2 linked regions of the Coturnix japonica genome follow. The protein of the gene in region 2 purifies or fractionates together with the protein of the main gene of each other region. This does not show direct contact. Links are inferred from orthologs where the notes say so. Each region holds a gene or a part of one and is shown on either strand. Other genes may lie near its edges.

The links.
Region 1: the proteins of SPATA5L1 (region 2) and TIMM13 purify together in Homo sapiens (co-immunoprecipitation; 3 studies listed by BioGRID and IntAct, with this or other methods). This does not show direct contact. The link is inferred for Coturnix japonica from reciprocal best matches to the Homo sapiens genes AFG2B and TIMM13.

What each region holds. Positions count from the first base shown.
Region 1 is NC_029543.1:222,322-225,186, forward strand, and holds TIMM13 (mitochondrial import inner membrane translocase subunit Tim13), read right to left. Parts: upstream 1,488-2,865; 5' UTR 1,389-1,487; coding exon 1,251-1,388; intron 1,139-1,250; coding exon 1,070-1,138; intron 993-1,069; coding exon 894-992; 3' UTR 741-893; downstream 1-740. UniProt on the Homo sapiens protein: Mitochondrial intermembrane chaperone that participates in the import and insertion of some multi-pass transmembrane proteins into the mitochondrial inner membrane.
Region 2 is NC_029525.1:9,451,002-9,455,403, reverse strand, and holds the start of SPATA5L1 (spermatogenesis-associated protein 5-like protein 1), read right to left. Parts: upstream 3,056-4,402; 5' UTR 3,007-3,055; coding exon 1,942-3,006; intron 1,440-1,941; coding exon 1,254-1,439; intron 600-1,253; coding exon 441-599; intron 1-440. UniProt on the Homo sapiens protein: ATP-dependent chaperone part of the 55LCC heterohexameric ATPase complex which is chromatin-associated and promotes replisome proteostasis to maintain replication fork progression and genome stability.

The sequences.
Region 1 (2,865 bases), on a different chromosome or scaffold from region 2:
TGGAGATGTCTCAGTGTCCCAGTCTCTGTGCACACAAATGCAGCACTGGGCTCCTGCAGAGGTGGGCAACGGGACAGCAAATGTTCCTGCATCAGACAGCAGAATCATAAGCACGGGGCTGGGCTGGCTCTGTTGTCTTGTTTTGGTACAGGACCCTTCCCCTCTCTCTGCAGGGTGATGCAGGTGGGCCCCTGGCATGTAAAGAACCCTCAGGACGGTGGTTTCTAGCAGGAATCACGAGCTGGGGCTATGGCTGCGCCCGGCCGTTCTTCCCTGGGGTCTACACCAAAGTCACCGCGGTGCAGGGCTGGATCGCGCAGAACCTCAAGCTCTGGAGCTGAATTTCACCACTCAGGGAAGGTGCCAACGAGAGGAATAATGGCCAGGGGCCGCACGGAGCCCACCAGCACCACCGGACACCTCTGGGATGCTGCAAAGGAGTGAAGATGGGCTGCGAGCACGAAGCAAACGCTCGTGTGCTGTGACCCGCAGACAGCGGGACCATCTGATAACTGCTTTGCTTAGAAAGATGGCTAGACTTTGGTTTTTGTCTATAAATAAATGAGACTTGTCCCACCTTCAGACCTGGCGACATCCTGTGCATTAACAGCTGCCCTTCCCGGCCTGAACTCGGTGCAGCCGGCAGGAAGCCCTGCCCCCCCCCCACACTGCGCCCATCACCCGGCACCGGGCTCAGGGCGGAACCTCTCGGTGCAATAAAAGCCGGAGGCAGCGCAGGGTCAGGGCGGTGTAACGGGGTTTATTGCCGCCGGCTCCGCGCTCCGACCCGTCTCACATGTTGGTCTCTCCCATGTTGTCTCTCTCACATGTTATCTCTCTCTCTCCCATGTCGGCTCTCTCACATGTTATCTCTCTCTCTCACATGTTGTCTTTCACATGTTGGCTCTCTCCCGCTGCAGCCGGGAGTTGTAGGCTCTGGACACCGCGTTCCAGGCGTCCATGTACCGGTCCATGCACATGGCGATGCATTTCTGCGGCACACGGGGCGGTCATGGAGGATCCCGGGGGTCGCCGCCCGCCCCGCGCCGCGTCCCCCCGCCCCGCTCACCTGCTCCGAGTTGTCCAGCGCCCCGCCGGGTTTCCCGATGCATTTCCGAAAGCATTTGTCCGTCATTCGCTGCGGGAACAGCCGTCAGCAGCCGCGGGCACAACGACCCCCAGCCCCCCCCCCCCCCCCCCCCCCCCCCCCCCCCCCGTGCTGCCGCGGCTCCGTCCCCGCCGGTCCCGACCTGCAGCAGCTCCTGCGCGTTGGCCACGGCGATCTGCACCTTCACCTGCTCCATGATGAGCCCCGGGTCCAACTTGCCTCCCCCGCCGGCACCGGAGCCGAAATCGGAACCGAAGTCGGAGCCGAAGCCGCCCTCCATGGCTCGCGGTCCCGGCGGGGCGGCAGCGCAATGGCGGCCCAAGAACTACGGCTCCCGGCGCCCCGCGTGGCCCGGAACGGAACAGAACGGAACGGAACAGATCGGACCGGAACAGACCGGAACAGAACGGAACGGAACAGAACGGACAGGAACGGACCGGAACAGCGGCCGTGCGCGTCCCCGCGGCGGCAGCGCGGAGCTGAGCTGGGCGGCACCGCGTGGCCGCGGGTCGCAGCTCGCGGTGCTCGGTGTGAGCAGCGCCCAGCAGCGCCCGGGGCTCAGTCTCAGTCCTGCTCCCATCGCTGACAACAGCCCGGCCGCCATTTGTCCCCTCGGGCACCTGGACGCAGTGCTGGCTCCCATTCAGCCCATGTCCATCACTGTCCATCAGCACAAGGCCCCTTTCCAGCCCCCCCTCCCTCATCATTGATCAGACAAAAGGAAACCAATAAAATGCAAAACATTTATTTGAGTGTGTTGTACAAAAAGTTTCCAGTCTTAAAATGTATATTACAAATCATTGTAAAAGACACGACGTTTGGCATGCATATCCTAAAGAGAAAGAAAGAAAATAATCCCACAACGATGTGAAATGGTAACGCCCAGAGCACGATGCAGCACCATGAGCTGCATGGAACGCTCCCATCATATTCACACACTGCATCACTATTCCTGCCATTAAATAGAATGAGCGTTTTGAACTGCGTGGGGATGCAGAACCAAACCCACAACTGGATCACGAGGCATCACCGTCATTGTTATGAACAGGGTTGAACAGCCCGCCCAGCTGTACAGCATTGTGGCCTGACCTTGCTTTGAGATGGGTTATTGCTCATGGTTTTAGTGTGATGAACGTGGGCAGCTGATGCACAGCAGCATTTACCTTACAAAGGATCATCGCTTTGATAACAATAAACAGGGAAACGTGGGTCCATCCGCCACCCCCTGCACTGAGCGTCCAGTTACTGAGCGTCACCTGCTGCTCGTGTGGTTCTGAATGGAGCCATTTGCCCCATTCACGCTGTAGCCGTTAGCATTTCAAGGAAGGCATTACGCTTACAAATGATAATTGCATGTAAATATGATTTGTATAAAAAAAACAAACACTTAAATTATTTAAAGTGGTTTAAAGCTAAGCACATTGAAGGGCAATTCAAAATTCTGTTTCCCAGGCCATGTCAGACATTGGACAAACGGCCACCTCCCATTTGTCAGCTCCAACAGGAATCCAATAATGCAATCACGGTCCCACCTTCCACTCACTGGGTTACAACAAAGCTCCACCCCCTGCGTGCACAGGGCTCGTGGTTTGGACCCAACAGTGGCAATGAAATCCAGAATGGAACACGGATTCACAGAGATTGTAAAAAGAAAATAGAGAATGAATGGCTTAAGGAAGGGAGAGAAGTGCCTCGAGTGCTCACAACACACAGTGTTGGCACACAGCATTGGATCTTCTTAGTGCACAAAAGAAAAA
Region 2 (4,402 bases):
TCAAAGACAACCAACAAAACAGCGGAGCACAATACTCCAACTCTTTAGTGCATATATTAATTTGAAAGCAACGCATAATGCTAATTTGGTCTTCCTTGGTAGAAAAAACACAAAGCCACCCTTCTGGAGCTTCCCTCTCAGTCTCAAACAGAATAAAAGGCAATTGTTGAATGATATGCAAGAGCCACCTCTGGCTATACATTCAGAAATGGACTGCTGCAGGGTTTACCAGCTACTGGGAAGCAGAATAATTATTTCATTGTGTTATGCTTGCTGCTCCTATCTTGAGATGCTAAATTATTACAGTGCTTGTCATTTAATGTAGTAGAAAATAATACTAAAAATTTGCATGATAAAGCACTTCTGCAACATAACACACAGAACAGTTTGAAGAACAGGCCATCAGAAACTCTCTTGACCTAAACGCATTTACACCTTACCTGTTTTAACTTCAACTTCACATCTTCAAGACCACCAATCTGCTCCCAAGTGACGGGTTTACATTCTTTGAGTCCAATTGCACTTCGAAAAGAGGATGGCTGAATTCTTTTAAAAGCTTCTTGGAAATCTGACATGTTAATCAGCACTTCAGCTGAATCCTGAAGGAAAACACAGTGTATTAGCCACATTTTCACATCATAAATTATAAAGCTTTATTAGCACATAAAACGCTTCACAAAAGGCCAAAGACAGCCATAATCACTAAACTTCCCACCCTAACAAGCTCCAACAGTGTATACACAAAGATGTAACAAGACAGAATATACACTCTTTGTGGCAAGATCTTATAAGGAAAGAACAATTTTATCAGACTTGTGTGTTCGACAGAAAATTACTTTTCTCCCTAAATCACAGCTCCAACTAAGTTAAACAGATGCTAATTCAGGGTTACTACACACGAATTCCCATATTCTTTTAAATAATCAAAAAGGTCCAACATTCATAACCCTCAAGCAGACTGCAAGTTCCAATCTTAAATGACAGATGCAATAACAGAAGTATTGTGATATGCTTTACCAAGGAGCTTGCAGTTCTCGTGGCAAACAGCCCATCTACTTGTTGATTATTTTTATTTGCCCATCTCTGTCTTCCCAGGATACCAGGCTCAAATTATTTCACTATTTTCAATTACATTTACAACACTTTAACTTCTGAATTCCTCATCTTGTTCAGATTTTCAAGTAAAACTAAGTGCTAATGGAGAAAGGGTGTTAGATAATAACCATGACTTTCATCTTTATTTACAACCATACCAAGGAGCTGTGGAACACAGCCTGCATGGCAGCTTCTCTGCAGAGCGCTGTAAGGTCAGCTCCAACGTACCCAGTTGTCATCTCTGCCAGTTTAACCAAATCAATGTCTGCAGAAATGGGCATGCTACAGGTGAGCATCTGCAGGATGGATCTCCTCTGCGTAAGCGTCGGGGTCCCAATAATAACCTGATCCAAAGAAGATGAAATTTTCAATAGTTACTTCACCATATTCCTGTCATTTTGTCAACCTGGCCACGCAAATTTGTCTCCACTTTAAACCAACTACTAAGGATTTATACATACTTACATTACAACCAAAGAATTTAGGAGAAGCTTAATAATAGATTACAGATATTTAAAGCATCTTTAATTTATGCCTACTTTCCAAGTGAATAGTTGTATAATCAGTTGTTCATAAGACACTATGAGTTACTGTCCATCGAATCCTGTTTTAAGGTAATAGAAACATCTGACTTAGCAATTAGGTTATTATTTCATTGTTCTCAAAGGCTGAATTAGATAACAGGTTTATTTAATTGAACACGTTCTGTAAAACACAAGCCAAGAGCAAAAGCATCTTCAAGGTTGACTATGTGAACTGCGGGCTTGTCTTTACTAACCAGCCCCATGACACCTCCCTTAAACAGGAAGAAAAGAGGACTGAGCACGGACAGCAATGTCTGCTTACTTCTCTGTCAAACCTGCCTGGTCTTCTCAGTGCGGGATCCAAGGCGTCAGGCCTGTTTGTCGCTGCCACAACGACCATCCTGTCCTTACGACCGACACCATCCAGCAGCGTTAGCAGCTGAGCCACAAGGCGATCCTCAGGAGCGCTGTTGGAACTCCCTCGTTTTGGGCACAAAGCGTCGATCTCATCAATAAACAGAAGCGTGGGCCCTTCCCAGGACATCTCCCTGCCCTTCTCAAAGACACGTCGCAAATTCTCTTCGCTTTCCCCCGGCCTGGAGCCGCACAGCGCCGGGCCGCTGATGCACAGCAGATCCGCACCCACATCTCTCGCCACCGCCTTCACCAGGAGCGTTTTCCCCACGCCTGGAGGGCCCACCAGCAGCACCCCATTGGGGACGGGAAGCCCCAACTTGTTAAACGTCCTTGGGAAGCGGAACGGCAGGTCCACCATTTCTATCAGAGACTCCCTCACATCGTCCAGCCCAGCCACAGGAATTTTTGCTGTCTCTTCCGTTAAGAGCCTGTACCGTTCTAACGCCATCACCTCTTTAATCGTTACATTTGTCTGCGAGGTTATCAGCCCGGCCTCCTCAGTCGCGGGCTCTACAGACAGGATCTCTATGTGCACCACGGGAGTGCGGACATTAGGGCCGACGGTAACAACGTAGTGAGGGGAGACGTAGAGGTTGCTCAGCAGGTCCCGCACCGCCTCCTGCAGCCCCGCAGCCCGCCTGGCTGCCCCGCCCCGCAGCACCACACGCACCGCAGCTCCCCGCAGGCGGCGGGCGGACAGCGGCTGGAAGCAGCCGGGGCTCAGCGACAGCTCGCGCAGCGCTGCCAATGTCAGCCCGGTGCTACAGGCCGGGTCCGCCTGCACGTACCCGTCCGCCAGGTCCGGCCGCGGCCACGCGGTGCACAGACAGCACCCGGATGGCAGCGAGATCCGCAGCGGAGCGCCCAGCACGACCCCGAGGGACGAGAGGGCGGCGGGGCCCAGCCGGCACCGCTGCGTGCCCTCATCCCTCGGGTCCGGAGGGAGCAGCCTGAGGGACACGGGATCCATGGCGGCACGAGCACGCGCCAACAACCGCCACGAAGGGCGCAGCCGCGGCCCCGCCTCCCAGCACACAGAGTCACAGAGTGACCCGGGTTGGAAGGGACCTCAAGGATCATGTAGTTCCAACCCCCTGCCCGGCAGGGCCACCAAACATACACCTTTACTAGATCAGGTTGCCCAGGGCCCCGTCCAACCTGGCCTTGAGCACCTCCAAGGACGGGGCATCCACAACCAACCCTCGCACCTCCCCGCCTCCCCTCACACATCCCCGCCTCCACGGAGCACTTGGGAGCCGCCTCCTTCCCGAGAGCCCTGCCCGGCGTTACCTTCACAGTAGCGTACGAACCTGCTGGGCTGAGAGAGAAAAGCATCATCGCCAGTGAAATCTGCAGTGTGCGTGATTTCAGTCCAGCGAGTAGCTTAATTGTGAGTAAAGTAATACGCACAGACTCCAATTGAGACCCCACACACTGTGATCACACGGGGCAGGGAGGGATGCCCTGCAGGACAGGGCTGTCAAGGTGTGTTCCGAAGGCTCCTGCAGAAAAGCATAAGGAAATCCTTCTGACGGTGTCCTTTACCATGGCCCTGTGTGAGCCAGTACAGAACAGTAACCAGTACAAACAAAAAGAGGCAATCTGAATGTTGTTAGCTCAGCTAGTTCTAAATACTTCATAGGAACTCATTATAAGGAAGCAGAGCCCAGAAATCATTAATACAGCTTTTTGAAAGTGTGAAAAATCGCCTTGTTTTGTTTTGTTCTGGTAGGATGAAAACCTTATTTAAGAATTTTTATGGGATGCACTGCTGAGTGGCTGCCCTGGATTGGAATGTGTACCTTTGAGTAGCCATCGCTCCCAGAACTTTTACACACCCCAAATTCACTCCTGACAAACAGATCTACCACCAAAAATCTAGTTTAAACTGTCAGTCACCCCCCAAAATCAACAAGAAGACCAAAAGCAAAACAAAACCCAACACGATTTTCACGACATTCACTAGATGGCAGCTGATCTTCAAGAATGACTCGTTTCTCCTTGCAGATCCAACAGATCCAAGGGAGCAGTCATCAGCAATTAGAGAAATCGAATGCTGCCCATCATTGTCTTTGCTGTGTTTCAAATATCACACTGAAAATCCAGAACAGTGAGTGTTCAGATCATTTCCATCTTCATTTCCCTGTTTTTCTTTTAATGTTCAGTTTCTTTCTGCTAATTTATGGGGAGGAGTGTTCCCTTATTGTTTGCTTTCATACTTCATGGAGCTTCTCTGGCAAAATGTAAATGCTATATTGTACCTATGCCAGATATTGCACATTTAAAACACCACGTTCCATTATAATAGAACTTCATGGATAAATTGTAAAGATACTCCTAAAGAAGGATGGGAATGAGCTCTTTCA